7 linked regions of the Callithrix jacchus genome follow. The protein of the gene in region 1 interacts with the protein of each later gene in a pairwise test. Links are inferred from orthologs where the notes say so. Each region holds a gene or a part of one and is shown in the gene's direction. Other genes may lie near its edges.

Evidence for each region.
Region 2: the proteins of SSX2IP (region 1) and NDN interact in a two-hybrid assay, tested with the Homo sapiens proteins (2 studies listed by BioGRID). The link is inferred for Callithrix jacchus from reciprocal best matches to the Homo sapiens genes SSX2IP and NDN.
Region 3: the proteins of SSX2IP (region 1) and ZGPAT interact in binary tests that used the Homo sapiens proteins (3 or more experiments, as listed by UniProt). The two-hybrid records come from large-scale screens. The link is inferred for Callithrix jacchus from reciprocal best matches to the Homo sapiens genes SSX2IP and ZGPAT.
Region 4: the proteins of SSX2IP (region 1) and FAM161A interact in binary tests that used the Homo sapiens proteins (3 or more experiments, as listed by UniProt). The two-hybrid records come from large-scale screens. The link is inferred for Callithrix jacchus from reciprocal best matches to the Homo sapiens genes SSX2IP and FAM161A.
Region 5: the proteins of SSX2IP (region 1) and CARD9 interact in binary tests that used the Homo sapiens proteins (3 or more experiments, as listed by UniProt). The two-hybrid records come from large-scale screens. The link is inferred for Callithrix jacchus from reciprocal best matches to the Homo sapiens genes SSX2IP and CARD9.
Region 6: the proteins of SSX2IP (region 1) and SHFL interact in binary tests that used the Homo sapiens proteins (3 or more experiments, as listed by UniProt). The two-hybrid records come from large-scale screens. The link is inferred for Callithrix jacchus from reciprocal best matches to the Homo sapiens genes SSX2IP and SHFL.
Region 7: the proteins of SSX2IP (region 1) and TOP3B interact in binary tests that used the Homo sapiens proteins (3 or more experiments, as listed by UniProt). The two-hybrid records come from large-scale screens. The link is inferred for Callithrix jacchus from reciprocal best matches to the Homo sapiens genes SSX2IP and TOP3B.

The regions. Positions count from the first base shown.
Region 1 is NC_133508.1:121,905,599-121,909,680, reverse strand, and holds the start of SSX2IP (afadin- and alpha-actinin-binding protein), read left to right. Parts: upstream 1-1,282; 5' UTR 1,283-1,514; exon of another isoform or gene 1,515-1,636; intron 1,637-4,082. UniProt on the Homo sapiens protein: Belongs to an adhesion system, which plays a role in the organization of homotypic, interneuronal and heterotypic cell-cell adherens junctions (AJs).
Region 2 is NC_133507.1:5,529,857-5,533,553, forward strand, and holds NDN (necdin), read left to right. Parts: upstream 1-1,297; 5' UTR 1,298-1,385; coding exon 1,386-2,351; 3' UTR 2,352-3,197; downstream 3,198-3,697. UniProt on the Homo sapiens protein: Growth suppressor that facilitates the entry of the cell into cell cycle arrest.
Region 3 is NC_133506.1:59,198,070-59,202,035, forward strand, and holds the start of ZGPAT (zinc finger CCCH-type with G patch domain-containing protein), read left to right. Parts: upstream 1-1,166; 5' UTR 1,167-1,205; exon of another isoform or gene 1,206-1,300; intron 1,301-1,653; 5' UTR 1,654-1,681; coding exon 1,682-2,235; intron 2,236-3,966. Other genes in the region: ARFRP1 (ADP-ribosylation factor-related protein 1), read right to left, coding at 1-6, 252-344. UniProt on the Homo sapiens protein: Transcription repressor that specifically binds the 5'-GGAG[GA]A[GA]A-3' consensus sequence. Represses transcription by recruiting the chromatin multiprotein complex NuRD to target promoters.
Region 4 is NC_133515.1:52,310,044-52,313,244, forward strand, and holds the end of FAM161A (protein FAM161A), read left to right. Parts: intron 1-1,265; coding exon 1,266-1,410; 3' UTR 1,411-2,701; downstream 2,702-3,201. UniProt on the Homo sapiens protein: Involved in ciliogenesis.
Region 5 is NC_133502.1:184,844,282-184,848,326, reverse strand, and holds the start of CARD9 (caspase recruitment domain-containing protein 9), read left to right. Parts: upstream 1-1,245; 5' UTR 1,246-1,393; coding exon 1,394-1,742; exon of another isoform or gene 1,743-1,895; coding exon of another isoform or gene 1,896-2,178; coding exon 2,179-2,316; intron 2,317-2,488; coding exon 2,489-3,348; intron 3,349-3,755; coding exon 3,756-3,881; intron 3,882-4,045. UniProt on the Homo sapiens protein: Adapter protein that plays a key role in innate immune response against fungi by forming signaling complexes downstream of C-type lectin receptors.
Region 6 is NC_133523.1:9,278,975-9,282,911, forward strand, and holds the start of SHFL (shiftless antiviral inhibitor of ribosomal frameshifting protein), read left to right. Parts: upstream 1-1,137; 5' UTR 1,138-1,248; coding exon 1,249-1,269; intron 1,270-1,741; coding exon 1,742-1,865; intron 1,866-2,061; coding exon 2,062-2,111; intron 2,112-3,830; coding exon 3,831-3,869; intron 3,870-3,937.
Region 7 is NC_133502.1:193,906,916-193,909,198, reverse strand, and holds the end of TOP3B (DNA topoisomerase 3-beta-1), read left to right. Parts: intron 1-133; coding exon 134-335; intron 336-1,214; coding exon 1,215-1,696; 3' UTR 1,697-1,783; downstream 1,784-2,283. UniProt on the Homo sapiens protein: Releases the supercoiling and torsional tension of DNA introduced during the DNA replication and transcription by transiently cleaving and rejoining one strand of the DNA duplex.

The DNA.
Region 1 (4,082 bases):
GAGACCACTGATTTATTCAGGCAGATCTTATTCCTCCCTGGGGTTAGGGCCAAACTTCCCAGATCTCAACCAAGCTTGACTCAAACCTTTTAAAAATGTAACTGTTAATGGTAAGGGCACCTGGGCTCAACAGCAGCTAGTTGGACCTCTGAATGCTTAGGCCAAAGGAAAAGAGGGGAATTTCATTGGGCCCTCAAGTTGTCGCTGCGGCATGCTTCTTCTGCTGCTTCTGGCCTTGATCTTTCATCCAGGATTGGGGATACGTTCATGCAAACTGGAAGGCTGGCATTCCTCCTGCTCTTGTTTTTCAGTGTTAATACATCTTCATCTCTCATACTGTTTTGGTTTCAAAATACTCTGAGGAGCCTCCTTGAAATACCAAACCTGTTTTTCGCCTTTTGAATAAATCCCTTCGCTTCACCAAAAGCAAACCAACCAAAAATCAAAGTACATTTTTGTGTAACCCATATGCCTGTGATTTCTCCATCTGATCTCCTTCTTTTCTCTGGCCTCTTTTCTTCCCCGGAGAATTTTAGGCTGCCAGGGAACCAGGGAGGAGCCGGCCTGACCCTGACCACGGGTGCAGCAGGCATAGGTTTTCATTGCACATATTTTGCTGAGTGGGTGTAAGACATTTTTGCATAAACTGAGAGTTCATGAATGCCATTTCTTAGTCTTTCTTTTGCCCGCTGTCTTCTGCCCAGGTCCATTTCTTTGCCCTAATTTTACATGTAACTTTCTTCCGGTTGGGTTGTTTGCATCCACAACTCCCGACGCTTGAACCTCCCGTTCCTAGCGCCTGACCTAATTCTAGGTGCCGGCTGTTTGATTAATTTCTCCACTTTGGCAAACGAACGTGGCTCTTCTGGAAGCTTCACTTTTGCTGCTAGGTTGGGTGCTGGGGTTCAGCGGGGCTCCTAAAAAGTGCTCTAAAGCAACCACGACCCCCTGTACCCACAGAGCTCCGACCCCGACCGCTGCAGGCATCAGGAGGAGGCGGGGAACAGGGCCTGGACGGGTGAATCACAGGGCGTAACAGGTGCCGCAGCCGCAGCTGCGCTCGCTGCGCGCGGACTCCAGGGATAAGGTCTTTTTCTCCGGGTTTTTTTGGAGGTGAGGAGGAGACTCCAGAGGCCCCCACCCGACCAATGTAGGCCGCGGTTGTTCATCGCCTAGCAACTGGCGGAGCCAATGGGAGGCGGCAGGGCCTGCGGCGCCGGCGCGCTGGGGCGGGGTGGGAACCTCAAGAACCTGCGGAGGCCGGGAGGCGGCCGCAAGGGGCGGGGAAGGCGGGAGTCCGTGGCGGAGGAGGAGCCGCCGGCGGGAGGCGCTGTGAGGCGCTGCTGGCCCTCGGGGCTGCGGGAGCCGGGCTAGGACGCCAAGCGGTGACTCCCCGCCGCTCCCGGGGGCCGTGACGGTGAGCGGCGGCGCCTCGCTGCGGGGATTGTGACGCGTCCCACCAGGCAGTGGGCGGGGGTGGGGTGGGCGCCGGCGCTGGGCGGACGCGCGCGGAGGTGAGAGCCAGTACCTGGCTCAGCGCCCCGCGGCTCGGCGGGAGGCTGCGGGCGGCGGTTGGGGCCGTTGCAGGGTGCGGGTGAGCGTCAACCCGGGCCGCGCCTGGAAGAGGAGGTGGGAGGTAGGTGCTGGCCCCGGGACCGCGCCCGCAGAGGGCTCTTGCCCAAGGAACCCCAAACCCTCTCCCGGATGGAGCGAGGGTGGCGCCCAGCATAGGGAGACAAGCGGCGCGGAGACGCGGAGGAGGAGGGGATAGCCAATTTGGGGCTGCAGAGTCTCAAAGCGGCCGTGGGGCAGGCGGGCTTTGGCGATTTGCTAGTGCAGCCGCAAGAGGCAGTGTTTAAAATGACTTATTGGGTGGCCAGTGGCCGCTGTAGTGGAAGAGAGAACCCAGATAGTGGTCTAATAAAAAGTGTAGGGGAAGAACTTACATCATCCAAGCGGCAGGCATGTGTGAAAATACTTTGGTTTAGAATTTTATAGTCAATGACAGTAAACTGAATTGTAAGCTCCTTGTACGTTTTTTGAGCCTATGCTAATTGCCCATTTAGGCAGATCGCTTGGGCCCAGGGCATAGAATCTACTAAATAATTTGCTGTCATCACGTATAATATGGAAATCTTTAGATTATTACTCAGTTTCAGGGCCCATAGTTGTAAACGCCAAACTGTCATTACTAGCAACGCTGATAAAGTTCTTGTTGAATCTAAGATAATTGAGATTTTTCTGGACGCTGTAATAGGTTGAGGATTAGAAGAAGGGTGGTTTAGAAGTGTAAGGGTGGTGGCTTCTTCAACTTCCTGGGCTCCCTGACAATTCATATTAGAGTCAAGGTCTAGAGTTTGCTGTGGGCGATGGATGTCATGGAACCCTTCATGGTTCATGGGGGATTGGCTTACTCTGGGTTAGAAGAAAATTCTGGTAGTCGTGTAGTTTATCCTGAACTAGAAAGGTTGGTATGACCTGACTCATTTAGGAGCCCGAATAAAATTTGTAAAGAATTAGAACTTTGGAGAGAAAAGAAATGCCCTTCAAGTTGACATCAAGCTGTCTTGAAATTTAGAAGTTCGAGGTAGATTTATGAATTTGGATCCAGTTGGCAAAACTTGATCCATGAAATCTCTTATCCTAAAACTATCAACCTACATGCCTAGCCAGCTTAGGTTATTCATTCACAGTAAACAAGTGAGGAAAGCTTAACTAATTTAACACTCTGTTCTGCCTGCTGTCAAAGTTTCTCAAAAACGGTTCTTTGAGAAGAAGGTTAGGAACTATAGTTAATCAGTGACTGGCTGGGCCTCTTAGGCCAAGTCACTTTATACTCTTCCTTCCCTTCTCTTTCCCCAGCTGTACAGTGAAGATAATAAAGCTCATGGGTTACGTAACATGGGTGAGGCGGCTTGAAGATAACTGTGAAGACTTAGTTATTCTAGGATGAAATGTGAAGATCTCATCACACATTATGCTTTGTGACAAGGCTTGTTAAAGCATATTATGTTCTAAACATAATGAGACAGATATATGAGAAATCTAAAATGTTATGCTGAAATTGTTTGCTAAAGACCTCAAGTCTGGCACAGTGTTTGATGGTATACTTGGGATCTCCTGATGCTTGACAGTCTGCTCTTCGGCCAAGGCTGGCCCTGACACAGGTTTTGTAAACTAGACATTTGAGTGTTTTCTATGTAGTATGCACCTAGAGAAACTAGGCGCATGAAAAGACGTGGCCCCAGAATTGTGTGATTTTAATTCATTTCACATGTTTAAATTGGATCGCTTTCAAAGATTTTTAAATTATTTTCTTCCATATCTTTTCAATAGCTGTCAACATACTTTCTTATTGTTCTAACCATTTGTTCATGATACAAAGAGGTTTTGATACGACATGGGTTTGTTTTGTGACTTTGGTAATGGTGATATGGTTAAAAGTAAAGGTACAAGTTATCTTGAATTCGTGAGTTTATGGGATGAGATAGAACAGAGAAATGCACCATTAGTAATGAAAAACAGCATAGGATCATGCCTTTTGATTGCGGGCCAATATTTTATGTACTACCAGCAGATTTACTGAATTATGCTTAAATAATTCTTTCAATAAACATTCATTAAACACTTAGTAAGCTGCTACTTGCCAGACCTGAGGGTAAAAAGATGAGTCTTTCCTTGCGGAATTGTATTTTGGAAATTATCAGTATAGCAAGGGAGAGAGCAAAAAAATCTTACAACAAATATAGGAAGGCTTTCGAAATGAACGAGACTTTCAGCTGTGTCTGGCTGAGGTGGTGGAGTTTGTCAAGCAGCTGGTGCATTCTGCAGCAGTGCACAGTTGAGGAGTTACAGGTGGTTTGGTAGAGTTGGACCAGGCTGGGGTTGTTGTATTCTTAAGGCTGTAGAACAGTGCTGTGAACATTGACTGGTATATTACAGGGAATCTTCAGAAGGTTTTATGTAGGGAAATTATATTTGATTTTTACTTCAGAAGGATATTTCCACCAAAATCAATAAATTGATCCAAAATGCATTGAACATAATCCAAATATCTGAAAGACAGGAGTCCCACAAAGCAG
Region 2 (3,697 bases), on another chromosome or scaffold:
GAGGAAAATTAAAGTGACAAATGAGAAAAGATAGATACTCATAGTGAGGACTCTAGACATGTCAAGACAATTTTAAAACATGCTTTGGGCTTCAAGTGGCAATAACTAGACTCGAGACAACATATTTAAGAAGCTGCTGATGAGAGGGAACCCGGCAAGGGCTGAAGGACCACATCAACGCAGACCAAGGATGCTGAAGCAGCATGGAGGCCCCTGGTTGTGGAGGCTCCAGCAATGCCCCTTTTTCCACGGACAGCCTCTAGGAGTGACAGCTTTGCCTTGGCCCACTGGGAATCTGTTTTCTATAACTGGAAAACAGGGCTATCCATATGTTGCCCCCGCTACCTTTTGGTCATCTGAGACACCGCCAGATATTGCCCATGGGACCTATATCTTTTTGGAGATCTCAGGAAGGAATGATTTGGGTGTGACTCCCAACACTGAGGACTCAGTAGCTTCAGAGAAGGTCCTGGGAGAAGGTGAATCGGAGAATGAGGTGCTGGGCAGAGGGAAAAATGCATTATCATACAAGTTTGTGCTAATAGATATGGCAATCCTTCTGTTATGGACTAAGCATGGAAAAATAAAAGAAAATGGAATCAAAGTGACTCAAAGTAAGTGTAAAAGCCAAACCTATGCCCATGAAAGCATCAATGATGGTCTAAGCCCACTGCCTCCTGAACAAGTTCACGGCTCACGCGGGTAGGAAATCACGTTAACGACACGCTGCATTTCTCCTTTCCTTATAACCGCATTTCTCCTTTCCTTATAACCCCTCTGATGTGGTAGGGAGGGAGTCAATCAACTTTTTATTGGAATTTCTCAGGATTCCAACCTCGGACATCCGCCTCACAGTTTACACGTCTTCTCGGACAGCCCGACCGTTCCTCTCACTCGTTCACATAAAGCTCCAGTTTGCACAGCCTCCCAGACCTTCCTCTGGGGCTCTCATACTTAACTGGATTCTGGATATACCCAGGCGAGCATTTCCCAGGAAAGTCGACCCCAGCATCCCCAAAACCTGAGTTATCATCTTTCCCCAAAACCTGCTCCTTCTCCACAGGCATCCATCTCCCTCCTCTCCTACCCTGAACTTCCTCGGCCGGAACAGGAAACCCCGGGATCGCTGTCCCGCCAGGTGACGCCTCACCGCGGACCCTCCCCGTCGGGGCCCCTCGCGGCCCCGCCCGCCCCCGGCCGCCCGCCCGCCCTGGCCGCGGTCGCGCAGGCGCAGTGCCGCGTCCCGCCGCCGCCCCGCCCTGCCCGCCGCTGCGGAAGGCGCCGCGCGCAGCAACGCGCACTTCCTCTCCAGGAGTCCGCGGAGGGAGCGCAGGCTCGAAGAGCTCCTGGACGCAGAGGCCCTGCCCTTGCCAGACGGCGCAGACATGTCAGAGCAGAGTAAGGATCTGAGCGACCCTAGCTTTGCCGCCGAGGCACCCAGCTCCGAGGCGCAGAGCAGCCCTGGGGTTCCGGGGGGGGTTCCTCCGTCCGCGACCCTGGCGGAGCCGCAGAGCCCTCCCCTAGGCCCGACGGCCGCCCCGCAGGCCGCGCAGCCGCCCCAGGCCCCGATCGAGGAGGTCGACCCGAAGGCTTTGCTGGAGGCCGCAGAGGAGGGCCGCGCCCACCAGGCCCCGAGCGCGGCCCAGCCCGGCCCGGCGCCGCCCGCCCCGGCGCAGCTGGTGCAGAAGGCGCACGAGCTCATGTGGTACGTGCTGGTCAAGGACCAGAAGAAGATGATCATCTGGTTTCCAGACATGGTGAAAGATGTCATCGGCAGCTACAAGAAGTGGTGCAGGAGCATCCTGCGGCGCACCAGCCTCATCCTCGCCCGGGTGTTCGGGCTGCACCTGAGGCTGACCAGCCTGCACACCATGGAGTTTGCGCTGGTCAAAGCGCTGGAGCCGGAGGAGCTGGACAGGGTGGCGCTGAGCAACCGCATGCCCATGACGGGCCTCCTGCTCATGATCCTGAGCCTCATCTACGTGAAGGGCCGCGGCGCCAGAGAGAGCGCCGTCTGGAACGTGCTGCGCATCCTGGGGCTGCGGCCCTGGAAGAAGCACTCCACCTTCGGGGACGTGCGAAAGCTCATCACCGAGGAGTTCGTCCAACAGAATTACCTGAAGTACCAGCGCGTCCCGTACGTGGAGCCGCCAGAGTATGAGTTCTTCTGGGGCTCCCGGGCCAGCCGTGAAATCACCAAGATGCAAATCATGGAGTTCCTGGCCAGGGTCTTTAAGAAAGACCCCCAGGCCTGGCCCTCCCGATACAGAGAAGCCCTGGAGGAGGCCAGAGCTCTGCGGGAGGCTAATCCCGCTGCTCACTGCCCCCGCAACAGTGTCTCCGAGGACTAGCAAGGTCTGGAGGCAGATGAAATGCTTTCTGACCCTCACCGGGGCTGTGGAAGGGTGGGGGTGGGTCATTAGAGTGTTCGGGATTTACAGTGCAGTATTCACGTGTAACTTTTAAGTTTTCAGTACAGTGCTTTTATACCTTTAATGCAATGTTGTATTCATTTGGGTACTCTTGTGTAGTATTTAGGATGTATGCATGTTTGTTTATATGTAAGCTTGGTTGGTGCTTTCGCTTTTGTGCTACCTTTCTTGGATTTTTGTACCTGAGACATGCTAAACTGACGAAGTACCTTGAGAAAGTTTGCATCTTATTATTTTATATGGGACTGGTGATGTGTGTTGGGGTAGACTGCTCCTGCAGAGTTTGGAAGAACTCACCAGCAAAGCTGGCCTAACCAAGAGAAAAGTCAAGGCTCTTCGTGACCTTGCTGGGCACAGAAGACATTCTCGTGGAGTAAACTGATTTGAACTGGACTGGTCTCAATGTGAGCACTTGGCACAATTTACTAAACACATATACAACCCTACCGTGAGTCAACTTTAAAGTAAACATTAAAGATTCTTGTGATACAATCATTTTTGGAAAAGTGTACTCTTATCATTTTAACAGAGCACTATGATTGGGAATGAGACAATTCTCTATTTTACAATGTGTACAGATGTAACTGTTTCCCCTAATAGGGTGGGAAAAATCGCTACTCGTGATTACTCCTAAATTTGTGAAGGTTATAGTTTTATTGTCTTTAAATGTAATTGTTTATTTCAAAAACATGCACAAATATAAAGTATAAAAACAAAGCAGTATGATTGTCCATCATCACATCATATGAGAATAAAAACTAAAAATAACTTCCTTCCCTTAAGTTTCTATATTTTATCAAAATTAATGGATGTCTTGTGGGCACTTAAAGAGTGAGACATTGTACTCAGCCCTAACATGTATTTTTCCCCTTTTATTTAACCCTCACAACAGGCCTGTGAGGAAGGCATCTACTGCCTTTGCACCATGGAGGAAACAGGAATAATGTAGGTAATTAACTTTCCATAGCTTGTAAAGGTTAGCAAGAGAAGGAGCTGGCACTTCAACTCAGAATGAATCCAGAGCCCACATTTGTCCCCACCTGCCTACAATCCCTCATACACCCTGTGGCTTTTAGGTTATTTATTTTCAAACTTATTTTTACATTTTACGTGGGAGCCCACACTCCCAGCTCCCACCTCCCACACTCACATGCATTCATGGGCCACACAGAGAGAGAGGCTAGGAATTTTATTTTTCTAGTTCTCACAATATTTTGGAGAAAGCAAGATTATTCTGATTGTGTAAATTAAGAAATTTTCATCTT
Region 3 (3,966 bases), on another chromosome or scaffold:
GAAGGTCTGAGGAGAGAGGGAGGCAGACACATCAAATAGGGACTACAGTGTTTCCCAAGTCTTTTTCCCAAATATCCTTACTCAGGCCTGCTCCTTAAAAGACAAAAAACAGAAACAAAGCAACGTTCTGCTCTTCAAGAAGCTGGCGGTGACTACCCTGTCTTCTCAGAAGTCTGGATTCTGTCTGGGTGGTGAGCATGCAGCTGACACCAGGTCGTGGGGAGGGGCTCAGGCAAGGGAGGGGCACTCACCGTCTTCCCAGCATTGTCCAGGCCCAGGATCAGGATGCAGTACTCGTCCTTCTGAAACATGTACTTGTACAGGCCGGACAGCAGCGTGTACATCCTGCCCTGGACACCCCGACAGATGTCACTGTACAGCAAGAACGCACCCGCCCCCCGAGTTTCTCCACGGTGGTCAGTGGTGCTCCACGTCCAGCTGACCGCTCAGGACTAGAACCTGGGGCCATTCCCGACTCCTCATCTCTCTTCCACCCCATCCCTTTGTGACTCTTCGGCCTCCGTAACTTCTCCCAGATCAGCCACCCTCCGCCACTCCTGCCCCGGGGCCTCCCTGCCCGCGGGACCACCCCGCCAGTGTTCACAGTGAGCTCGGTTGCGCCCCCGCCCTCCCCCCCGCGTCGCTCCCACGCTTCACGCGCGCGGAACGGGGAACGCACTTGCTGCAGCCCCGCCTGGGCACAGCGCCCTCGGGTGTTCGGCCGCGAGCCCCACCCAGTAACAGCCAGGAGCCCCTGCAGGCGCCCCATCACCCCGTTTCTTAAAACGGGGACGGCCTGTGGAGAGCGGACCCGCAGGCAGCGCGCGGCGGGCGGGGACGGACTCCCGCGGAGGAGGAACTGCGCTCGGGCCCCCGGGCTCCCGGCGGCTGCCAGTCGCGGCCGCCAGGTTCGAGGCTCGCCGACAAGCTGCTAAAGCTGGTTCCTGTCACACCCGCGTCCCAACCTCGAGTCCAGGGCCGCCTCTCGGGCCTCGGGCCCGGCCGCACAGCCTCCGACCTACCTGCGTCCGCCGCGGCCTCTAAGCCGCCGCTGCTGACCCGGCACCGACCCCGCGCGGGGCCTGACGGGACGCGGGCCGTGGGGCAGAAGCTTAATCGCGTCCCGGCGGCCTCTGCGCTCCGCTTCCCGGCTGCCACCGCGCGCCAGGCACTTCCGGAGGCGGCTGCGGCGGGAGGAAGTGCCGGTAGGCTGCGAGGGCGAAAGCGGGGCTCCGGCCTGCTTTAGCCGGTGAGGCCGGCGGGCTCTCTATGGAGGCGGCTGGGAAACCGCGCTGAGGAGGTGCGCGGCCCTGGCCGGACGGAAGAGAGGCCGGGCGGGGGTCGGGACCAGCCTGCAAGGCTGCGGGCGCGGCGGGTGCGCTCGGCGGAGGGCCGCGCGGGGTCGCCCTGCGGGGAGGGGGTGACGCGGAACCCGGCTAGCAGCGAGCCCGGGGCGGCTCGGAAGGGAAGTGCGGAGCCCGAGCGGGGGTACCGGGCTGCGACCTCCGCGCCGGGAGCTATCGCTCTGAACCGGTGTCTCCGCGAGGGAAAGGGGACGTGCCCGTGCCCGCCGCAGGCTGTGGTGGCGGCTGCGAGACCCTCGCTCCGTGTCGGTCCCGAGACGCGGGGCTCACCAGGCCCCTCTTCTCGCAGCTCCGGTCCAGCGCCTCCCTCTCTCAACATGGATGAGGACAGCCTGGAGGCTGCCCTGCAGACCTACCGTGCGCAGCTGCAGCAGGTGGAGCTGGCCCTGGGCGCCGGCCTGGATTCGTCCGAGCAGGCCGACCTGCGCCAGCTACAGGGGGACCTGAAGGAGCTCATCGAGCTCACCGAGGCCAGCCTGGTGTCCGTGAGGAAGAGCAAGCTGCTGGCCGCGCTGGACGGAGAGCGCCTGGGCCAGGAAGATGCTGAGTACCAGGCTTTCCGGGAGGTCATCGCCGAGGCGGCCCCTGGGGCCGGATCAGAGACAGTTCCTAAAGCAGAGGCGGGGCCAGAATCTGAGGCAGGTGGGCAGGAAGAGGGAGAGGAGGAAGAGCTGAGTGGGACCAAGGTGAGCGCGCCTTACTACAGCTCGTGGGGCACCCTGGAGTATCACAACGCCATGGTGGTGGGCACAGAAGAGGCGGAGGATGGCTCGGCGGGTGTCCGTGTGCTCTACCTGTACCCCACTCACAAGTCCCTGAAGCCCTGCCCGTTCTTCCTGGAGGGAAAGTGTCGCTTCAAGGAGAACTGCAGGTAAAGCCCTTTGCTGTCAGATGGCAACCTCGAGGCGTACGGGGTGCACATACAGGGTCAGGTCAGGATCGGCCCTCCCTTTGCAGTTGGTCCCAGCTTCCTGGGGCAGGCGGGCTGTGAAAGCAGTATCCTTGTTTAGGCATGTGCCTCTTTCTTCTGGGATAAGAGCAGGATGCATGGAAGGAGGCTAATCAAGGTGGCTCACGCCTGTAATCTCAGCACTTTGGGAGGCCCGGGGGGGAATCACCTGAGGTCTGGAGTTGGAGACCAGTCTGGTCAACATGACGAAACTCCATCTCCATTAAAAGTACAAAAAATCGGCCAAGCACAGTGGCTCATGCCTGTAATTCCAACACTTTGGGAGGCCGAGGCGGGCGGATCACGAGGTCAAGAGATGGCGACCATCCTGGCCTACATGGTGAAACCCTGTCTCTATTATAAGTATAAAAGCCAGCTGGGTATGGTAGTGTGTTCCTGTAGTCCCAGCTGCTCGGGAGGCTGAGGCAGGAGAATCGCTTCAATCCAGGAAGTGGAGGTTGCAGATCACACCACTGCACTCCAGCCTGGTGACAGAGTGAGACTTCGTCTCAAAAAAAAAAAGTACAAAAATCAGCTGGGCGTGGTGGCAGGCACCTGTGGTCCTAGCGACTCAGGAGGCTAAGGTAGGAGAATCAGTTGAACCCAGGAGGCTGAGGTTGCAGTAAGCCAAAATTCAGCCACTGTACTCCAGCCTGGGCAACAGAGCGAGGCTTATGTGAAAGAGAATAGGTCCCCAACCTATTGTCAGTTTTGTTTGTTTTTTTGAGACAGGGTCTTACTTTGTCACCCAGGCTGGAGTGCAGCCTGGACTTCCTGGGCGCAATTGATCCTCCTGCCTCAGTCCCCCAGGTAGCTGGACTACCACACCCAGCTAATTTCTGTATTTTTAGTAGAGGTGCGGTTTTGCTGTGTTGCCCAGGCTGGTCGCACACTCCTGAGCTCAAGTGATTCACCCGCTCTGGCCTCCCAAAGTGCTGGGATCACAGGCGTGAGCCACCGCACCCGGCCCTGTTGTCAGTTTTATTCTCTAGAATTCAACTTTTAAATTTACTTTAATGGAAATTTTGAAACCTGCCCCAGATGAGAGAGCCTAGCATAATCACTGCCCACAGTCTATTATCATTTTGCTTGTTCCCCCGCCCCGCTTTTTCCCTTCCTGGATATTTTAAAGCAAATTTCAGAAGGTACTGGGTTTTTCCAACTATGAATACTTCAGAGTGGATCTCTGATAAGGAAATATTACTTAAAAAGTAACTTTTTGAAAGTCCAAGTCAGTGTGAAGACAAGAAAGAGTCACTTCCACATCATTATAGATAACACGTTTCATGGCAGCACCTCTTCCATGTTCGAATATCCACAGCTATTACCATGATGTCTCCATTTCCATAAGCGCATAGCTTTATTTTTGCTCCTTTTTACTTTTCTCTGAGAAGAAATATTTACCAGGCTTTCTAGTAGGTAATTTTCTTTTTAGCCAATAGTTCAGGCTGGCCAGGTAGCACTCCTAGTTCTTTGGATGTCTTACTTTGTGGGGGTTTTTGTTTTTGTTTTTTTTAAGCAGGGTCTTGCTGCCCTGTCACCCGGGCTGGAGTACAGTGGCACAATCTCAGCTCACTGCAATCTCTGCCTCCCTACTTCAAGCCATCCTCCCACTTCAGCCTCTCTGATAGCTGATACTACATGCGTGTACTG
Region 4 (3,201 bases), on another chromosome or scaffold:
AAGATGTCTTAATGGTTTACCTTTGAAAAAATTGTTACCTGCAGGAAAGCATACAATTTTGTACTATGTATATATTTTTGTTCTATATTGTTTTAAAAAATATTTTACCCAGTAGTAAAAGACCTGTGAACTCTTTTAAAACATATTGATATTTTGACATGTGTAACACATTCACATTCTTGTGGTGAAGTATTATTATTTTTTTTTATTTATTTTTTAGAGATTGGGTTTCACCATGTTGGCCAGTCTGGTCTTGAACTCCTGACCTCATGATCCACCCACCTCAGCCTCTCGCAGTGCTGGGATTACAGGTGTGAGCCACCACTCCTGGCTGTGAAGTATTTTTTTTTAAAACAGAATAACTTAGATTTCTTACTGACATAAGTAACAAAAATAATAGCATGCTTTCAAATGATGTTTAAAGAATCAGTCACTCAAATTTTGAAGTAAATTTGTTTTCACCTGGGCGCAGTAGCACCCACCTGTAATTCTAGCACTTTGGGAGGCTGAGATGGGTGGATCACCTGAGGTTGGGAGTTCTAGATCAGCCTAACCAACATGGAGAAACCCTGCCTCTACTAAAAAATACAAAAATTAGCCAGGTGTAGTGGGGCATGCCTGTAATCCCAGCTACTTGGGAGGCCGAGGCAGAAGAATCACTTGAACCTGGGAGGCAGAGATTGCAGTGAGCTGAGATCGCACCATTGCACTCCAGCCTTGGCAACAATAGCAAAACTCCATCTCAAAAAATAATAATAAATAAACAAATAAATAAATAGATAAATTAGTTTTCAAGAATATTAAATTTCTCAATTGCTGACTTTTTTTTTTTTGAGACAGAGTTTTGCTCTTCGTTGCCCAGGCTGGAGAGTGCAGTGGCGAAATCTCGGCTCACTGCACCGCCACCTCCTGGGTTCAGGTGATTCTCCTCTTTCAGCCTCCCGAGTAGCTGGGATTATAGGTGCCTGCCACCAGGCCTGGCTAATTTTTGTATTTTTAGTAGAGACAGACTGGTCTCTGCCAAATGCTTGCCAGGCCTCAGCCTCCCAAAGTGCAGGGATTACAGGCATGAGCCAACATGCGCAGTCTCAGATGGCACTTTTATAGCATTTTCTGTTTTTTTTTTTGAGTTTTCTTGATAACAAATTGGAACTCATACACTTGAGGAAGACTGGCTACACGGTGGCACACTTGCAGAGGGGTTTTTTTTTACATTTAAACCAACTCATTTTTCCTTCGAAAGACTGATAAATTTCTTCCCCTAGCTTTAATGAAGAAGAAAAAATAGAAGAGAGAGAAAATGGGGAAGAAAATTATTTTATTGATACCAACAGCCAGGATTCTTATAAGGAAAAAGGTGAAGCTGATGAAGAGAGTGGAGAAGAGAAATCTGTTGAAGAATCACACTGAATCATCAAGGTCTCCTCTCTATGCCCTTGCTGCTGTTCGCAGTGTCAGGGTGTGAGCAGCTGCATTTGTGTTTAGAACATCTGTGGGGACACCTCTGATTTGTGCAGGGCAGTTGAGCAAAGTCATCTGTACCCTGAAAAGCCTGAATCCAGTTTATTGGTCATTTGATCAGTTAGAGTAAGGCTTTGCCTATTCAGTTTTAAAAATCATTATATACAATCTGTTTACAACTATGATTTTGTATTTTTTAAAAGTGTTTGAGAATCACAGCTGTCAAACTGTTATAAAAATATACGTTGTTTCATTAATTTTAATAGAAAAAATGGCTTAGTATTGAAAGCAGAGAGAAATATTGGTCTTTGGTGATTTACTTTTTAAAAATTTCTGGAAAGTGTGAATCAATGAGTATTTTTAATTATACTATTTGCCCATTCTTTTTCTCTGAAATACATTTCACAGAATAAATCCTTGAATTTATTTTGCTACTCTGAGCCATTTTTAAAAGTATAGAAAAAAAATACTTACAAATTTTATTTTTGCACTGAAAGTTCACTGTTAAATTGTCTACACCATCATCCCTTTTTCTTTTAATCCTTAGTTCTAGTCAAAATTATTTTTGATACGTAAATTATTAGGAAAGTTTTTATACTAGCTTTTTTAAACCTTTGTATTATTACAGATGGAAGTATTTATGGCATGTGTGAGTTATAATCTAAATTAGGGGCAAGTATTCCTGTTTTATATATGATGAAATTGTGCATAGGAACTTGGCTAAGGCAAGTATCCAAAGTAATTCAGATTTAACTCTTTACTGCTAGACCCAGTTGTGTTCAACTTTTTACATATTGTTGCAAACACACTTTGTCTCTCTGGGTACAATGTTAATCTGATTTTATGAAATAATTTTTTCTTTAAGCAAATTTTTGTTTTAAAATTTGAAGCCAATTATAAAGCTGTTACAGCATAAGACGTCTTCTCTTCTAAAAACAATCAGCATCATTGTAAAAGGATGAACTCATATAGGTGTATGTAATAGCAGTGTTCCCCAACTGGCAATTTGTGTTTTAAATTGAAAAATAAGGTTATTTTTCTTCATTAGGGGCAAATGTTTACTTGTAATTTCCTTCCTACAGTTCATGTTAAAAGTGAAAATTACTTTTCACTTTTATTAAATTGTAAACTCCTTGGGAATTGGCACCATTTACAAATTCATCTTTGTATTCCCTTAATATTTGGCACAGGATTATACATATGGTAGGTACTTAATAAAGGTTTGAATGACTGTGCAGATGAATATGGTTTTTATATACTTGTAGCTATTTCAGCATGAGTACACATGGGATTAAAAACATTTTCCTCCTAGCTCATTGGGAGCCAGTGAAACACAATCTACAAATTATAATAGTACTTAAAACATTACTTGCTTTCAAAGATTCACTCCTCAGCCTGTCCCTTCTCAATTTCATGGGGAGAGTGTGGGCTTTGGTCATGAAACACTTGGCTTCAAGATCAATCTCGTTTTCTTACCTTAAAAAATATGGGAATTGTACCTATCTTGGGTAACTGTAGGAAGGACTGGATGAAATCATGAATGGAAAAGCTCTTTGCAAACTGTGATATTCAAATGATGGTGTCAGAAGACAGAACATTCCTGAGGAAGCTATTGACTTAAAATACTTTTACTTAAATGAGATACACTGTGATTTAAATATTACTTTGTTAGAAATCACTTTTGAAGCACTTTGTTAGATATAATCTGGTAAACACAGAGCCAAAGTTAAAAAAAGAGAG
Region 5 (4,045 bases), on another chromosome or scaffold:
CGTGCTCCTCTTCCCTGCAGTCACGGGTAGCATCTCCCAGAGGCTCTGCAGCCCAGACTCCTGGTTTGTCTTCGGTCAGGTGGGTCCTGGACCCTCAGGTGGGTAGGTCTGGTGCTTTTCTGAAAGGTGGCCAGGAAGGTTGGTGTCAGTCTCATTCAGGATCCTGGCGCTGATGCCCCAGAGCAGCATGAGGCTTTCCACAGGGAGCCGGGCAGCCTCCATGTGCGGCCCCATCCGTTTCACGGCCACTGTGTACATTTCAGTGGCATTACCAGCCGAGGCAGGTGGGACTCTGGATTCAGGCTGGAGAGGCAAGGCAGGGGCCCAGTGTTCCCAGGACTGTCTGCCGTGTGGGTGGTGCTTCTATTTAGTCCCTTGTCTGTTTGTCAAAATTGGCCTGAATGGGAAGACAAAGCACGGCAGGAAGTTGAGAAAATCCTCACAAGACTAAGCCTGGGGCAACTGTCTCCAGGAGAGGTGACCCAGCTCCTTTGGGCTGGAAACCAGCTTTCCCAGCGGGGCTGGAGGCTGTCTGAGGAGCAGGGTCTTGCGTGGGAGGCAGGACCATGTGGGTGCTCCCCGCCTTGGCCCAGTCACAGTCCCGGAGGGAGTGGCTTTCAGTGGCGGAGGCTTCTACCATGCTGGCAGAAAGGGACAGCAGTGGCTGGTCCCAACATGGGTAGTTCTTTTGTTGCAGTGAGCGAGATGGTCCTGGAGGGGGTGGCTGGGGGGCAGAAGAGTCCAGGAATTCACTGGTGCCCAGCACCTAGGAACCTGGAGAAAATGCCACAGCAGCACTCCTGGCTGGCCAGGGCAACACTGACAGCCCCTCCCAGGGTTGTGGGGCCAGGGAGTGGGGGGGTGACAGAGACACACTCCTGTGGGCAGCTCTACCTGGCTGGTACAGTGACCCTGGCAGCTGTGGCAGGGCTGGGCGGCAACTCTTGCATCATCAGCAGCCGGCCATGGAGGAGGGAGGGCACAGCCCGGGATGTGAGCGGGTGTCGGTCAGGGGAATGAGGAAGTCCCAGAAGGACCAGCTCCCCCAGCTGCTGTGCTGGTGGGAGGGTCACAGGCCAACCTGCTCTCACCCAGCTTGGCCTGGCCAGAGTGCCAGGCAGGTGCTCACACCACTCCACCCATGGAGGTGGCTGTCCTTGCAGGCTCCAGGGCTCCAAGGTGAATTGGGAGTGTCCAGGATGCAGAGGCCAGAGTGGGGGTCATGCTGAAGGGGGGGTTCCTCTCTCGGACCCATCTGTGCCTCCCTGGGTGCATATCTGGGTGACAGGATGGCCAAGGGGCAGCAGCAGGGGCTAGGAAAGGCTGTGGAGGGACCTGAAGGGGAAGGTGTCACTGTGTCTCTGCTGCCTCCCTGGGGGATCTGGCTGTGGGAATGGGCACCTCTCCTAGACGCCCCTGGGCTGATCCCCTTGACAGCCCTGACAAGAGCCCTGGCCCAGCATCTGAGAAGGGAGTGGGAGCAGGGCCTGGGTGGGGGCAGGAGGCCGTGTCACGCTCAGTGGCTGCCCCAACTCTCCTCAGCCTGCCTGCTGGGGCCATGTCGGACTACGAGAACGATGATGAGTGCTGGAGTGCCCTGGAGGGCTTCCGGGTGACGCTCACCTCGGTCATCGACCCCTCACGCATCACACCCTACCTGCGGCAGTGCAAGGTCCTGAATCCCGATGATGAGGAACAGGTGCTCAGTGACCCCAACCTGGTCATCCGCAAACGGAAAGTAGGTCAGTGCTGTCCCACAGGCTCCTGGCCCCAAACCCAACCAAGGAGCCAGCTCGGAGGTGGCTGCAGGCTCTGCGACCCTGACCCTCAACTCCAGAGGAACCCCACCCAGCTTTGCCCCTGGCCACCCAGTGAGGCCCAAACTCAACCCTGACATGTGGCCGCCCCACCCCCCAGCCCTCTCTTGCTGGCTCGGTGCTGCCAAGAGGGGTCATGGGGCTCCCACCACAGCAGGGACTCCTGAGACAGCCAAGGGGTGGGTGGGCAGCACTGCCCCCAGCCTAGCACCTAGACCCTCAGGGTGCCTCTTCCACGATCCAGACAGCAGCACACCTCCTCTGCGTCCCAGCCTCCACCTCTCCCCGCCCCCGGGCCCACCCATCCCAGCCCTCTGCCCCGCCAGCACCCCGCCCCTTTTTCGGCCTCTCTGGCCTGCAGGTGTTCTCCTGGATATCCTGCAGCGGACAGGCCACAAGGGCTATGTGGCCTTCCTCGAGAGCTTAGAGCTCTACTACCCGCAACTGTACAAGAAGGTCACGGGCAAGGAGCCAGCCCGAGTTTTCTCCATGATCATCGGTGAGTGACGGGGAAGGCAGGGCCAGCAGGGAAGGCGGGGCTGGGCAGTGGTGCTCGGTCAACCGACAGGCCCACATGCTTAGGAGCCCTGAGCTCCTGCCACAGCGCGAGGCGTGATGGAGCTGGACTGCCAGGGAACAAGGGCCCTGTCTGACACTGGCCCGGTCCACAGATGCGTCCGGGGAGTCAGGCCTGACACAGCTGCTGATGACTGAGGTCATGAAGCTGCAGAAGAAGGTGCAGGACCTGACTGCGCTGCTGAGCTCCAAGGACGACTTCATCAAGGAGCTGCGGGTGAAGGACAGCCTGCTACGCAAGCACCAGGAGCGTGTGCAGAGGCTCAAGGAGGAGTGCGAGGCCGGCAGCCGTGAGCTCAAGCGCTGCAAGGAGGAGAACTATGACCTGGCCATGCGCCTGGCGCGCCAGAGCGAGGAGAAGGGCGCTGCGCTCATGCGGAACCGCGACCTGCAGCTGGAGGTGCGCCTGCTGCCCCAGGGAACCAGGGTGGCCCCCCTCGCCTGGCCTGGTGGGGTCTGCGGGTCGGGGGCAGCCCCGTGGGTCGGCTGTCAGCACCTGGAGTGGATGGCTGGGCTCACCCGGCCTTCTGCAGATCGACCGGCTCAAGCACAGCCTCATGAAGGCCGAGGACGATTGCAAGGTGGAACGCAAGCACACACTGAAGCTCAGGCACGCCATGGAGCAGCGGCCCAGCCAGGAGCTGCTGTGGGAGCTACAGCAGGAGAAGGCCCTGCTGCAGGCCCGGGTGCAGGAGCTGGAGGCCTCGGTTCAGGTGTGGCTGCGGGCAGGGCGGGCACAGGTGGGGCGGGTGCAGCCTGGCAGGGTGGCATGGGCCTTCCCAGCTGGGCCATTGCTTTTTGCCCCCTTCAGGAGGGAAAGCTGGACAGGAGCAGCCCCTACATCCAGGTGCTGGAAGAGGACTGGAGGCAGGCGCTGCGGGACCACCAGGAGCAGGCCAGCACCATCTTCTCCCTGCGCAAGGACCTCCGCCAGGGCGAGGCCCGTCACGCCCGGGTACGAGCGCAGGCGAGGACATGTGGCCCCTGGGGGCCATGCTAGGCTAGGTGGGCTGAGCTCCGCCCACTCTGTCTGGAAGGTGGGGTGCGGGGACCCCAGTGCAGCATCTCCACTCACCCACTCCTGGAGGCACAGTGGATGGTGATCACTCCTTGCTCACCTGCACCCCATGGCAAAGGCCATGGGCTCCTTGTAGCTGGGCACGGCAGTGCCTGAGGCCTGGGGAGAGCCCTGCGCTGCTGTGGTCTGGAAGGGCGGGGTAATAGGGGCCTGGGGGCTCCTATGGCCTCCCCCAACATCCCGACTGACCTGACCCATGTTCCTGAGCTCCTAGCTGGAGCACCCCCCAACTGGTCAGAATGGGGAGCCTCAGGCCTTGGGGGCTGAGCTGCTACCCCCTGCAGTTCGTGGAGGAGAAGGAGATGTTGGAGCTGCAGTGTCGGGCCCTGCGCAAGGACTGCAAGGTGTACAAGGACCGCATCGAGGCCATCCTGTTGCAGATGGAGGAGGTCGCTGTCGAGCGGGACCAGGTGGGTGCTCACGGTGGGGGCTGGGGAACAGAGTGCCCCATTCGAGGTGGGTGCACCAGGGCCACAGGCCTTGAGGGCAGTTGTCAGAGGGTTTTTAATCTTTATTTTGTTATTTTTGAGATGGGGTCTCGCTATGTCACCCAGGCTGGCCTCAAACTACTGGC
Region 6 (3,937 bases), on another chromosome or scaffold:
AAACTGGAGTCGTTGAACACAATGCTATTTTGCCACTCAGAGAGCATCTGGCAGTCTCTGGAGACATATTTGGTAGTCACCATGGGGAGAGTGGGGAGCCATTGGCATCTAGTGGGTGGAGCCCAGGGATGCTGTTAAATGTTCCCCATAACAGGACAGTCCCCCACACAAAGAACTAGGCAGCCCAAAATGTCAAGCGTGCTGGGCTTAAGAAACCCTTGCCCGAGCGCCCCAGACTTAGTCTTGCTTTGGGGGCTCCGCAGGCTGCTTCATCTCCCCACTCTATTCCTCCCCCAGACCTCCAATTCCAGTGACGCTGTACAAAGCATCCCCTCCTCCAACGAGGCAGCCATCTCTGATGTCCCCAGGCTGGGCCAGAGCCCCACCACTCTAGGGCTACCAGATGCATCCTGTACAAGGTTCGAATTGTCCCGGCCCACCGCGTTCTCAACCATGGCAGATTCCCTGGATCCCTGAGACAGCCGGATTCTACCGGGTTACTAGAGACCAAGAATCTGTATTTTTCTCAAGCACCGCTCCCCGCACCACACACACACACACTGCCTGCCCCATCAAGGGCACACAGCAGGTGGCCCAGTGCTAGTGGAGCGCCTACTGCAAGCCAGGCGCTATTACGCGATCCACTCGGGAATCTTGGCACAGGCTCCACTCCATGGTGTAGAAACCAGGATCTTCCCCATTTCACAGAGCAGTAAACTGAGGCTCAAAGAAGTGACCGTAGCGGGACAGAGACTCAGGGCAGGAAAAGGGCCCAGGTCCTCAGAAGCTCCAGATTCCCGGGGGAGGAGGGAGGACAGAGGAGGGTGATGGACTGGGGGAGCGCGCGCTGGGTGGGGGGGCGCGGGGCTTCGCCGCGGCCTTCCGATGCAGCCCCGCCCCCACGAGGGACGTGAAGACGCGGACCCCGCGCAGCGTGGGGACATGTGACCGACTGCAGAGGCCGCGCCGCCTCCCCCGCCCGAGGTCTGCGCGCTCCGCCGCAGGGTGCAGACCCGGGGCTCCCGCCTGGGTTTGGGGCGCAAGAGCAAAGGCGGAGCCAGGGCGGAGCCAGCGCGCCCGGTCCCCCCCGAACCGAAAGCGAAACAGGGGCCGGGGAGGAAGGGCGGAGCCGGCCCCGAGGCACCGCCCCCTGCCCTGCGCGGCTGCTGGACCGACGGGCGCGCCCAGGTAGGGGGGCGGCTGAGCCGCGCAGTGCGGACCCTCGCGGGGACCTGCGCCGCCGCCACCATGTCTCAGGAAGGTGTGGAGGTAGGAGATGGCTACGGCTGGTCCGGGGGGGAGCCGCGACAGAGCCCGAGGAGCGGCCAGGAGGCGCGGAAGGGGCTTCGCAGTTCCTGGGGACCCCCATCCTAGAACCCCAGATCCTTACCCCTGCCTTGCGCTCGCCCCCCTTGAAAAGGAAAGTGACTCCCACGTTTCCCCAGAGCAAAATGAGGCCTCCCTGAGGAAAAGCGGGGGCTGCAGGGTCAAAGGTCAGAGGCCAGAGATAACCTGGCCGACCCCCCACCTTAGGCTGGGACGCTCGCCCCGGCCCGCGCCCTCCCCCAACGCCCTGTGGGGACTTTGGCTTTTTCCAGGAAATGCCGTAGAGGGATGGGGGGGGGGCGGCGGAGGCCAAAACCAAGGGTCAAGTTCAGGCCGGGAGAACGGTGCCTAGTAATGGGGGAGGGAAGATCGCGCGTCCCCTTCCCCCAGCGGAGCCCCCGTGTCCCCATCCCAGCTGGAGAAGAGCGTCCGGCGCCTCCGGGAGAAGTTTCATGGGAAGGTATCCTCCAAGAAGGCGGGGGCTCTGATGAGGAAATTCGGCAGCGACCACACGGGAGTGGGGCGCTCCATCGTGTACGGTGAGGCTGAGGGGGCCCGGGCCTGGTGCGGGGACCGCGCGTGGGATCGCCGAGGGGGCGTGGTGTAGGGAGAGGCGTTGAGATCACCTCCCCTGGAGATCCCAGCTTGGGGGAGGCTCTGCGTCGCGGTTCTGGGTGGCCTGGAACTCCCACAGACCCTTCAAAGGCCCTTCCCTTATGCGCACTCTCCCCGCAGGGGTAAAGCAAAAAGATGGCCAAGAACTGAGTAACGGCCTGGATGCCCAGGTAACCCTTCCCCTCTCAAAGGACTGGGTCACGGGAGGGAGAGCAAGAGGGGGCCCGACCCGTTCATGGGGACCCTCCTCTGAAACAGCAGGGACCAGGCATTGTCGTCTGCAACTCATGCCCAATCTTACTCACTTTTTCACCTCTCCATCGTTTGCGAGACCAGGGAGCCTGCAAACAGTAGGCGCTCATTATGTGCTGATTGTATTCAATGGGAGAGAGAGAGCCATGAAACTAGGCAATGAAAGGAGCCAGGATTATTGCCATGGTAGGGGAGCCCCAGAGGTCAGAGAAGGCTTCCTGGAGGAGGAGGTACCACGTCTTAAAGGATGGGGTGTAGTGAGCCCTAGGAGGGGAAGCCAGGGGTCTTGGGGTGGGGGAGGGAATGGTATGAGCAAAGACTGGAAGTGGGGAAGGGTTGTTAGTGGCAGTCCCTAAAAAGGCTGCGATGAGCAGGGGATTGGGGAGGAGAGAGAGGTGGGGAAATGGAACCCTTGTGTTGAGTGAGTGAGTGAGTGAGTGAATGAATGAATGAATGAATGGTTTTGAAGCACAGGTTCAACGCGGCTACTTTGCTTCTTGGAGAGCTTTGGTGATGGGAACGCTGTGGATTTCATCTGCCTGAAAGGCTCAGTGTAGGGCTGTAAAAGAGTATAATAAAATATGCATCATAGTCCACATTTACACATGTAAAAGTATGATAAAAATATAGCAGAGGGGCCGGGTGCAGTGGCTCATGCCTGTAATCCCAGCACTTTGGGAGGTAGAGGCAGGCAGATCACTTGACGTCAGGAGTTCGAGATTAGCCTGGCTAACATGGTGAAACCCCGTATCTGCTAAAAACACAAAAAATTAGCTGGGTGTGGTGGTGCATGCCTGCAATCACAGCTACTTGGGAGGCTGAGGCAGGAGAATCACTTGAATCCGAGAGGCGGAGGTTGCAGTGAGCCGAGATCGTGCCATTGCTCTCCAGCCTGGGCGACAAGAGCAAAAAACTCCATCTCAAAAATAAAATAATAATAACAATAACAGAGGGTAGCATTGATTGAGTACTTCCCACATGGCGAGACTCCAGGAATTGATTTATTTCATCACCACAGTGACCCAGGAGACAGGTCCTATTATTTATCATCCCCATTTCATAGACAAAGAAACTGAGGCTTAAGTCACTTGCCAGGTTCTCGAGGCAAGCAGGTGGCAGCTGAGATTTGAACCCTGGCCACCTGGAGTCAGAGCCTGAGCTCTGACATGCCTGTCAGTCAGTGGGAACCCAGGGGGCAGGGAGTGGCTTGCCCAAGTCCCCACAACTGGAAGTGATAGAGTTAGGATTCAAACCTGAATCTCAACCCAGATTCCCACCACTTATCTCTGGCACAGTGTGGCGTCAAAGGGGTGATGCATCACAACACCAACAAGCATGTAGCATTTGCAGGCAGGAAGTGAGTATGGGAGTCAGGCTGGCTTCACTCAGGCAAGTCCTCCACTAAGCCTCAGTTTCTCCAGTGCAGCAATAATGTCACAGGTGTGCCCACTTCTCAGGGCTGTTATGAGGACAACTGAGACCACACACCTGGCTCTCAGTAAGTGGGCAGTGCTCTGTGAGTTCCTGGCGAGTTAGGGGCACCCCATTTTCCTTGTAGCCAGGCCTCTACCCCAGCAAACAGATGGAAAGAGGCCTGAGCCCCATCCCCCATTTCTGCCCCTGCTATCTCCACCCAGGACCCACCAGAAGATATGAAACAGGACCGGGACATTGAGGTGAGTTGGTGGCTGTGGCTAGGGATGGGGAAGTGGGGAGGAGGACATCTGCAGGCACAGAAGCATGT
Region 7 (2,283 bases), on another chromosome or scaffold:
CAGGGTCCTTGCCTGGCAGTGTGTCACAGGTTCTACATGACAGGTTACATATGGTGTGTTATGAGAGGAGTGGGGCAGGGGCCAAGTCGGTGGCCTCAGTGACCCTCACACCCCCTGCCTGGCATTACCGCAGGCCAAGCCAAGCCGCCTGCACTGCTCCCACTGTGACGAGACTTACACACTCCCCCAAAATGGCACCATCAAGCTCTACAAGGAGCTCCGCTGCCCTCTGGACGACTTTGAGCTGGTCCTGTGGTCATCAGGCTCTCGGGGCAAGAGCTACCCACTGTGCCCCTACTGCTACAACCACCCACCCTTCCGAGACATGAAGAAAGGTGAGTGCGGCCACTCCCTCCTGTTCACAGGCAGCTGCAGTCTCTGTTCAGTGCCAGCTCCTGCCTTGGACCAGGCCGGACTCCAAGGGGACCCCTCACCCTGGCTTTTACTGCACTCATTGGCACTGAGACGAGAGACCCTGGATATAGCTGGGGCACTGCTCAGGTCTTAGCCAGCCAGTGCCACCCTCTCTCTGTGTCAGAATTAAGCAGGCAACCCTAGTCTACTTTCAGGACCTGGGCACAGGTGTGCAGTGATCCCTCTGGAGCTGAGTGAGCAAGAGGACCCACCCAGTGAGTGGGCACCCCCAGTCAGCGTCCACCACTGTCCTCCATTCTCATCCTCATTACTGGAGAAGGGAGAGCATGTGTCCAGGCAGGCAGGTCAGAGAGCACTGAGCCAGAACAGGAACCTGCTGGAGTAAGGTGTCTGCCCACATTCACCGTGGGCTCTGCAGGAAGCCCCCTCAGGCCTCAGTCTGCCCCGAGGCTGCCAGGAGAGTGAGGCCCCATCTCCACCCTCTTGCTGCCTCCAGAGCAGCTGACAGGGTGCTCCATGTGGCCCAGTGACATGAGGGTCATGTGGCATTACCAGTAACGAGCTGTGGCAGCAAAGTAAAGTGGGGATGGAGTCAGCTGGAACCCACTGGGATGGCACCAGCAAGGGGCCTCAAGAGTTGAGGAGGTTTCAGATAAGCAGAAAACAAAGGTAACAGCAGCCAGGAGCCGAAGCGTAAGCAAAGCTGTCCCCAGGAGCGAGGCCAAGAAGAGTTCCTTCTGCTGGGACGAGGGATCCAGGAGCTTGAGGCATTGGGAGCAGGCTGCAGAGGGCAGGCAGGTGTGGCAAGCATGCCTCACAGGGCTCCCCTCTTCCACCAGGCATGGGCTGCAATGAATGTACACACCCCTCCTGCCAGCACTCGCTGAGCATGCTGGGCATCGGCCAGTGCGTGGAATGCGAGAGTGGGGTACTGGTGCTGGACCCCACCTCGGGCCCCAAGTGGAAGGTAGCCTGCAACAAGTGCAACGTGGTGGCGCACTGCTTTGAGAACGCCCACCGTGTGCGGGTGTCCGCCGACACCTGCAGTGTCTGTGAGGCCGCCTTGCTTGACGTGGACTTCAACAAGGCCAAGTCCCCACTCCCAGGTGATGAGACACAGCACATGGGCTGCGTCTTCTGTGACCCCGTCTTCCAGGAGCTGGTGGAGCTGAAGCATGCAGCCTCCTGCCACCCCATGCACCGCAGTGGACCAGGGAGGAGACAGGGTCGAGGGCGGGGCCGGGCCAGGAGGCCCCCTGGGAAGCCCAACCCCAGGCGGCCCAAGGACAAGATGTCAGCCCTGGCCGCCTACTTCGTATGATGGCCCTGCCCTCCCTCACTCAGGCTGTGGTGCTGTGCAGACACCTCATCGCACTTCAAACTATTAAAATGCATTTTTGTCTTCTGAGCTGGGAAGCCTTTGCTGGTGCAGCAATGTCAGAGGGTTACTGTGTCCCTGGGCACCTGTGGGGCCCTCCTTCCCTCTCCGAAACCCAGTACTTCTCCCTTCAGCCTGCACACACATGCCCAGAGTGCTCCCTGCTCTCCCTACGCTCGCAGTGCAAGCAGGGAGGCCCCAAGCCTGAAGCCCTGGAGAATAGACCAGTCTGCACACACATGCCCAGAGTGCTCCCTGCTCTCCCTATGCTCACAGTGCAAGCAGGGAGGCCCCAAGCCTGAAGCCCTGGAGAATAGACCAGTCTGCACTCACCCCATCTCAGTCTGTACAGCTGATGGTAGCTCTGTGCACAAGCATCGGCCCTGATGCCTTAAGGAAGGCAGCCTTGACAGCCCGTGGCTCCAGCAGGAGAAGAGTCTAATGAAGCAGGCAGGGTTAGGAGACACCCTCCTTGGATCTGGCTCATGAATCCCCTTGGTCTTCGCTGCAGCCTCCTGCCCGGGGTCACC